2 linked regions of the Coturnix japonica genome follow. The protein of the gene in region 2 binds, or shares a complex with, the protein of the main gene of each other region. Links are inferred from orthologs where the notes say so. Each region holds a gene or a part of one and is shown on either strand. Other genes may lie near its edges. The genes, in order: EIF3F and EIF3J.

Region 1 (4,343 bases), on a different chromosome or scaffold from region 2:
ACCAAACAGCATTTGAACAGTATCACGACAATGGTTAGACCCAAAATAGGAATAAAGCATTCACCTCCTATCCGCTCTGTGTCGTAATAAACATACTTCACTGTCAGTGGTGTGAACATCACGCCCATAGTTTTACCAGGGACTCCCATTGGGGCACTAGGAAAAACACATAAATTCAGCATGGACACATCTGAAAGGAAATAATTTTCCATCTCAATGATCTTTATTAGCACTACAGTGTGAACACGAATAGGTTACTCACTGTCAGTAAAATCAGCAATATTAATACCATGTATAACCAAGGACAGGAAATCAATACAGGTATATTATTAACTGCAAATTTTCATCCAAAAATATTCCTAGCTGGTCTGACATTTATCAGTACAAGCGCATGATGAGTTCAGTACTGTCTTCTTGGTGAAGCTGACATGTCTGAGGGATAAAATGCCATTTGAAGAGACCTAGGCAGACTCAAGCAGTGTGCCCAGGTAAACCTCATGAGGTTTGATAAATCCAAGTGCACCTGGGTCGTGATAACCCCTGCTATCAGTATAACCTGGGGGATGTAAGGATGGAGCACAGCCCTGCCAAAAAGGACCTGGGGGAACTCATGGATGTTAAGCTGGACACAAGCCAGCAACATGCTTTGCAGCCCAGAGAGCCAACTGTATCCTGAAACGTGGCCAGCGGGGAGTGGGATGTGATCTTGCCCCTCTGCTCTGGTGAGGCCTCACCTGGAGTACTGCATCCAGATGCAGAGTCCTCAGCACAGGAGAAACATGGACCTATTAGAGTGCATCCAGAGGAGGGCCACAAATAGGATCCCAGGGATGAAACAACTCTGCTACGTGGACAGGCTGAGAGCTGGGGCTGTGTAGCCTGGAGAATGGTGTGAGGTGACCTGAGTGTGTCCTTTCAATATCTAAAGGGGAAGCTATATGAAGGAAGGGGGGCAGACTCTTCAGCAGAGTCTGTTGTGATAGGACAAGGGGAAATGGTTTCAAACTAAAAGAGGGGAGATTTACATTGGACAAAAAGAGAACATTTTTAAAATAGGGGTGGTGAGGCACTGGCACAGGTTGCCCAGACATGTGGTGGATGCCCCATTCCCGTAGGCATTCGAGGCTGGATAGGGCTCTAAGCAACACTATCAAGCTGTAGGTGCCATCCTGATACAATATCTGTTAGTAATTCAGACAGTTCCTGTCCCCATGTACCTGACATAGGCTTTAATGCTCATGCGTGAGTTCTGGAGACTTGTGTCCACAGTGAGGTGGATTGGATTGTGTGCTTCCCGGCTGTAGTACTCGTGGATCAGGACAGAATGTTCTGTGATGTCGTGACCTGTTGCGTACCTTGGAAAAAGCAAATGTTGAAAGACCACTCTTCTAATGTTCAAATGCCCAGTATTTGTTGGTATTTAACAGGTCTGTATTCTAAAACCCTGATGTCCAAGCACTGAGTTGCAGACACATAGTAAAGACTAGTATTATAACTAGGTCATGTGTAGTTTTATGGCTCTCCTAGAATTATAGGCTGAGTGCACACATGCCCAAAACATGCACAGGGTCAGTGTTGTATTACCATCAAAAAGAGTCAGTTTTTTGTCACTATGCTCTGGGCCAAATCTTTATTTCCTTATAAATCAAAGCATGCCAAGCAAATTTGGACCAGCAAAGTAAATCTTAAACAAATTAAACACCCCTGTGCAGGAGGCAGGGCTTGTTCATCTCGCTCCTTCAATTGCTCCGCAATTAACTTCTTGCATGCACAGGAAAGCGACTGCCATGAGAACTGCACCTTGCTGTGCCATGATGGGTTGTTGAGGAAGCCAAGAGTTCTGCGCTTGTAGGATTTTGTTCCATAGAAAGGGGCCAGAGAGGATGTCAATAGACAAACGAGGCCAGTTATCCGTGCACAAACGAGTTCTTTTCCTGTAACACCCCATCACAGGTATTTCCACCTTTACTCAGAGAACACCCTTGTGTTCAGGCTAACATCACCGTTTCCCACCAGCCCTTTGGTACTTTTGTGTTCTCCCTCCAGCTAGTTACCTTACAGACTGTATCACTGCATTCTAATAGATCCATGAGCATTCCCAACCCTCCTGTCTGTGACAGCTCTTCTAGACTAACCAAAAACGCTCTAAGTCTGCGACAGCATCCTTTCCTATCCTGAGTGATGGCACGACTTCACTGCTGCTTCTGCTTTCCAGCCTCTGACAGCAATGACAGATCTGAGGTATCTGAGGGACCTGCACAACTGCCCGCACTTCCCTGTGGCCATAGAACTCACCAGCCCAGGATGATCTCACTGGGAGACACCTTTTTGTGCAGCTCGTACATGTTTTTGGCAAACTCCATATCAACAGCCACCTGGGGAAGGGGACAGAGCCGAGTCAGCGGGTGCAGGAGCCCCGATGGCACATCCCCCATAGCCCCCACACCGTACCTCATCCTCGGACTCGTTGTGCGGGACGGAGAAGCAGTTGGTGACCTCCACCGAGTGCTTGTCCACGGTGCCTGCGGGACGACAGCGGTTAGTGGGGCGGTATTGGTCTTAGTGGGGCGGTATCAGTGGGGCGGTATCAGTGGGGCGGTATCAGTGGGGGCTGCGGCATTGCGGCTCTTACCCAGCAGGGTCCCGATGACCCGCGCCGCGCCCTCGTTGCGCCGCTCGAAGCTGTCCACGATGGAGGCCAGCACCACCGGGTGCAGCCGCACCACGCGGCCGCCGGGGAAAGGACCCGAGAGCGCGGCGGACAGCGGGGCGGAGGGCGGCGGTGCCGCCGGGGCTGAGGGCGGAGGGGGCGCGGCCGCCGTGGGTGTAGTGGGAGCAGCCGTGGGGCTGGGAGCCGGGGCGGCAGCGGGAGGGACCGGAGCCACAGCGGGAGCAGGAGCCGCCATTTTGCGAAGAGAAAGGGGAGAGACCTCGGCCACGACAATTGGCTGATCGGAACGCCTGTCACATACGCCACTTCCGTGAGCATCCGCCCCCTCATGGGCTGGCGCAGCGCTGAGCTCCTGTCTGCCAAAGGCAGAGCTGTGCTACCTGTGTGACGTGGTGTAGGAGCCTGCTTTGGCAGGGGGTTGGACTCGATGATCTCTAGAGGTCCCTTCCAACCCCTACAATTCTGTGATTCTCTGGTGTGATTTCTTTTTACAGCCCTTACACGTCACTGAGCCATTACTTTTGCATGTGCTGTTATGTCGGCTGCATCTTCACAGCTGATATATAATTTCTATATCAGTAGCTATCGTCTCATCTTGCTTGTGCAATGGGAATAAACATAATTTCTTGTTGAGAGGCGAAAAACCCCTTAGAGTACATTAAAAATATTGCATTGAATTACAGGTAAAATAAAATATGCATTTCATGTAGATAAGCATAATTAGGAAAAAGAATAGCAAGACTGATTTTCTGAATCTGTTGGTATCAAAGAATGGAAGTCTCTTTTCCTGCTTGGAACATCAGGTCTGTGTCTCCAGCTCTCACTGTGTTCATGGAACTCCCTCTCTGCCATTTCTCATGGTCATATTGCCAATGCTTTGGCTGGCTGTTGGTTATCTGTGTTTTTCAGGACTGTATGGTAAGTGTTGAGTCACGGCCTGAACCACTGATTGAACAGCTGGGGAAAGGACTGGTCAGCCCTGGGAGCACAGGTGAAGGCAATTCAGCTGTGTGCCTGGAGGGGATGCAGCCTGCCTGCACCTCTCTTAGACCTTATTTAAGGGCTGACTGCTGCTAGTAAAGGGTTTTTTCCTGGAGATCTCTCCTTAGTGAAGCTTTATGCTGCAAACCTAGAATTTTCTGATACAGGTGAGCAATCTTCTCTTACTTTATAGCACCTTTCTACTGTGTTGGTCCTTTTATCATTGCATCTCTTTTGTAATGCTTTTTCTATCATACTGGTCCATCCAATTGCTACTAGGATTTCTCTGGGGCTTTAGTATGAAGTAGTGATGGTCAGTGGCTTCTGGGTTTTAAATTAAAACTAAGTGGTAGTTTCCTTATTCAGCCTCAATGGAGTGTTTTGGATACTCCTCTGCTTCCTGTTCACTTGTGGTTGCTAGTAGATGAACGGCTATTGTTGGCAGCCTAATTTCTAGTATAATGCATTGGTTGATATGTCTTCATATTAGCAGAAGGAATTCAAACCGTTCCTCACTTTTTTTGCAATGTTTTATGGGGCTACTTTAATTATTAGAGATCCTGTTTGACATGGGGAGCTGCTGATGTTAAAGCTAGAATGGAAATCCCAATCCAGCCCCCAGCCGCTCGAGCAGATGCAGCCCCGCACGTCCCCGCCAGGTGGCGGCGCGGCCCCACGCAGAGCTCCCTGC
Region 2 (4,419 bases):
TGCTTTTACGTATTTCTACTTGGCAAACGCAGAGGACAGCAGCTTTCATACGGCCTTTTTAAATGCTCTCAAATCCATTCATTTGAGTTAGGAAGTGGGGAGTTGAGCTGTTGGAGCTGTAAAATAAGGGCTCTGACCTGGGAGCTGAGCACAGTGCCGTCAGCTGTGCAGCCCCCTCCCAACAATTAGCTGGGTATCATTAATGGACACGTGTTCTTCCCCTGGTGCCCCTCCAGGTCCCACTGATGCCCTCTGTGTACAGATCAGCGCTTTGTCACAGCCCTGAAGGTACATGTGGCACCACAAGTTAAAGCCAAGAAATGGCCCAGGAATCTACTTTGAGTTACCAGCACGAGTGGAACCTGTAAGCTTAAGAGCTCACCTTTGGCAGGGCCTGGTCTGCACAGAAGCCACGCAGGCCATGCACACGTTATGGGTGAGCTTTACAACCACAATCCCCAGCTGGGCCTCAGAGCAGAAACGTGAGCACTCAGAGCAGCCATTTACCCGGAGGAGGAACGCGGCGTCACAGCGCATCCCCACAGCTCCCCTGGGCCAACCCGCACCTGTGGCAGAGCCGGCTTCCATCCACATTCCAGGAGGCTGACTTGAATCTGCAGCAGCGCTCATTCAGCTCGTATCTAATTAAACCTGTTACACCCATTTCTTAAACAGCCATTCTCAGCACTGCTGTGCTCGGTGCCCAGCCTGCACGGAGGGGTTTAGATCGAGCACACAGAGCAGGAGGGCAGCGAGTACCAACGGGGCTGCAGGAAGCGACCGCCTCCTCCAACAACTGCTGCCTTCAGATGGGAACAACCCGCCCCAAAGCTGCTCCAAGCACCTGTCAGCACTGCAGGAGTGAGTGAGCAGGGGTGAGTGTGCAAGGGGTGAGTGTGCAAGGGGTGAGTGTGCAGCAGCTGCTCCCACCGCTGCAGCTGGAGCAGGAGCTGAGCCCCATCTCTCCTCCTCCAGCACTGACACTGAGCCAGGGCACAGCCTCCAACCAAGAGCTGCCCAGGGATAAATAGAGCGAACCCTGTTGGCACCAGGCCTGTCTGCTGGGCAAGCTGTGCCCGGTAACAGCTGAGAGCAGCTGCGTTACCAATGAAGATGATGATCTGAAACCCGGGGAAGTCAATGTTTCCTGAACTCTGGGGTTACTTTAAGATCAAAACAACTGCAAAACAAACTACAGGATCCGAGTATGTAGGAAACAAAGCAAGAACATGAACACGCAAAACACCGCGCTCACATCTTTCCCTTATATCCATACTCCAAGGCTGACCCTGGCAAACAAGGAGCTCCAGTATCCACCTCCCAGGCTCAGCCCTGAGATCTCCAGCATTTAAACAACGAGCAAATGGAAATGAAACACTCCTATCTGCCATCCAGCCCTCAGCTCCAGGTGCAGCTCTGGTACTAATAGTGTGACCCCGAGAAAGGGGGAGGAAGCCAAACTGCTGCACACGGGGAGCTGCTCCTTTATGACAGCAGAGCTGTCCCTATGAGCACCACCCCACAGAGCAGTTCTCCTGGACACGCTGGATACCAGGAAGGTTCCTCACTTCCAAAGGAAGGCAGAAAAGCAAACTTCACCAGCGCTCTGTATGTGTTCTATATAAACACACACAGGTACGCACACACTGCAGCCAGTGTCACATACGTGCATCCAGTGACGCTGTAACCACGCTGCTCACAGAGATACCCCCACTCACCTTGTGTGCTGTAATGCCACAGCAGTGATAACCACAGGGTGTGGTGTCACTGTGCTTCAGAAGCAGAACAGACAGCTCCTAACTCACACAAGTATCTCTTTATAAAGGGAACGCTCTCACACTGCCCACAGAAGGAATTCCACCCTAAGCTCCAATGGTGCTGGTGGTTCCAATATCCTCCAAACAGCGGCACAGCCCGACCCAGCCGAGCACTGAGCCCTCACCCAGCACCGTGCAGGGCTTCACCCAGCGACCACAACGTGGCGACCAGGCGACACCCCGAGCTGCACCGCTGCGTGTCACAGCCCCGACAGCAGCTGGACCGGCCACAAAACGCTGCTGTGAGCTTCGGCTCCTTCCATCCCGATCCCACCCACACGTGCTGCCCGGCTGCTGTGCACACAGAGCTCCGTGCTGGGAGCACAGCGGGGCCAGGCGGCAGGAGACTCGCTGTAATGCAGCCCCTCGTTGTAATGCAGCCCCTCGCTGTAGTGCATTCACTCGCTGTAGTTCAGTCACTCGCTGTAGCTCAGTCACTCGCTGTATCGCAGCCCGGCTCCATCCTCCCGCCTCCACGTGCTGCAGCGCCTCAAACCCCCCATCCCAGCGCTGCTCCGTCAGCCCGTGGCCGCCATCCCGCCCTGCAGCCCCGCTCGGTTCTGGCAGCACCGTGACACCCCCCGCAGCTCCGGCTCCTCCCCGCCCGGCTCCCCGTACCCGCTCCCGGCCCGACTCCGCTCCCCGTGGCCCAGCGGTACCGGACCGCGCCAGGAGCCGCGTTCGGGCCGTGTCGGCTCCCGGGCCCCACAGCGAACAACACCCGACGGCCAACAGCGCATCACGGCCCGGATCCGATCGGAGCGGCCCGACCCGGCGCTGAGTGTCCCGGCCCGACGCACCTTCACGTCGTCGTCCTCGTCCTCTCCGGCCCAGCGATCTCCGGCCACCCCCGGCACCAACCGCTTCGCCACCGGCTCCACCACCTCGAAGGTGTCGGCGTCTGTGTGGGGGGAAGCAGAAAGGACAGCGGGTGAGCGGAGCGAGGACCGGACGGACCGAACGGATGGAACGGATGGAACGGATGGACCGGGTCCAGGCCGACACCTACCCCAGGAATCCGCCTCGGCCGCCATCTTGCCGCGGGAGCGCGGCGCGAGCTGACTCAGCCGCAGCTCAGCGCACGGCGCGCGGGGCACCATGGGAGCACGGCCCGCCCCTGCGGCCGCCATCTTGGGAGGGATGAGGTGGGGCCGAGCCGCCATCTTGGGAGGGGTGAGGTGACGGCACCGCCGCCATCTTGGGAGGGCTGACAGGCCGCTCCCCCCGGCGGGGCGGGGCCGGGCCGGGCGCCGTGCGGTACAACGGGCCGTGCCGGGGCTGGACGGGCCGTGCCGGGGCTGGACGGGCCGTGCCGGGGCTGTCCCGGCCCGCTGTGCTCGGGTGGGCGGTTCGGTGCTGGGTAGGACGGGGATCACCTCAGGAACACGGGGCAGAAACGCAGCTGAGGCGGCTGGAAGTGCCGGCGTTGGGCCGGGCAGCCCCTGGGCTGCACAGTGGAGCTGGCAGGGCTCAGAGCTACAGACCATCACAGCGTCAACCGGAGTATAAATATTTAATAGAAATCTGTAGGATTCGATATCCTGAAACCACAGCAGAAAAAAACCACAGCTCTGTAGGACGTTGGTTCTCTCCCATTTGTATTTTACAAGGTTCAGCCTATCGGTACAATGACATCTTTGCAAGTATAAAAAAAATAAAGCAAAACAGTATTACATTACACAGTCAAGACAACCCAAATAGTGATGTGCGTAACAGAACCTGTACAAGGCAATCCTTGCCGAGCCTTCCTTGCTTCCAAACAAAGAAGTTGCTTTTTTTTTTTATTAATTTATATAGATCTTTTTGTACAAAATAATGACAACTAGCTAAGAAAACAACGCACCTATGCTACTTCTCATCAGCCATTTAGCAACTTGTGAACCATTCTCTTTAAGCACCCACAACCCAAGGTGCGGATCTGCAGCGACGCGGTGGCTCAGCCCTTAGAGCACAGCCTGACTCTCATCGTTCGATTCCACCTGTCTCAGGTGCTGATAATGATACAGAAGCTCCATGGAGTTGGCTGAGCCACGTGCCTGCTTTGCTGCGCAGACCCAAGTCCTTTCCCCATCAAAATAACCCACACTTGACTTGAAACTCTACTTACAGCGGAAGACGTTATTTTCATGTCATAGCAATCAGTTTCTCGTTGCACTTATTGGAACAAACCTAACAGCCGCGCTGATATCGCACCAGGAGCTGCCTGGTCTTTTCTTTCAATGACAACATGTTGTGAGCGTTTACTTTTTGGCCTCGACTTCCTGAAACCCATTCCATCTGGCCAGACGTACCGGATTCATTGCAACTGTGCAAACATTCATTTGACACTGGAACTTTAGCTTTGTAAAGGTGTGCTCTCCAAGTCCTTAACATGGAAGGCAATGGGAGCACAGGATGGAGAGGAGACAGAGAAGGCACAGATAACTCTCCTAGTTCCCCAGTGTGTTCAGTGCTGATCCAGCCCCCCATTCAGAAGAATGGAACAACACAGGGAATCCTGCAGCCGCAGTTCGGACACCCCAACACTAATGGGGCCTTCCTCGGTTCTTTTGTGAAGTTCCAAGTGCCATCATCTACCTTAATGCCTACACTAACAGGTGCT

Evidence for each region.
Region 1: EIF3J (region 2) and EIF3F share a complex: the UniProt entries of both Homo sapiens proteins name them as parts of the eukaryotic translation initiation factor 3 (eIF-3) complex. The link is inferred for Coturnix japonica from reciprocal best matches to the Homo sapiens genes EIF3J and EIF3F.

What each region holds. Positions count from the first base shown.
Region 1 is NC_029521.1:13,754,771-13,759,113, forward strand, and holds the start of EIF3F (eukaryotic translation initiation factor 3 subunit F), read right to left. Parts: upstream 2,929-4,343; 5' UTR 2,907-2,928; coding exon 2,633-2,906; intron 2,523-2,632; coding exon 2,452-2,522; intron 2,376-2,451; coding exon 2,296-2,375; intron 1,356-2,295; coding exon 1,218-1,355; intron 157-1,217; coding exon 65-156; intron 1-64. UniProt on the Homo sapiens protein: Component of the eukaryotic translation initiation factor 3 (eIF-3) complex, which is required for several steps in the initiation of protein synthesis.
Region 2 is NC_029525.1:17,935,810-17,940,228, forward strand, and holds the start of EIF3J (eukaryotic translation initiation factor 3 subunit J), read right to left. Parts: upstream 2,996-4,419; 5' UTR 2,981-2,995; coding exon 2,827-2,980; intron 2,719-2,826; coding exon 2,618-2,718; intron 1-2,617. UniProt on the Homo sapiens protein: Component of the eukaryotic translation initiation factor 3 (eIF-3) complex, which is required for several steps in the initiation of protein synthesis.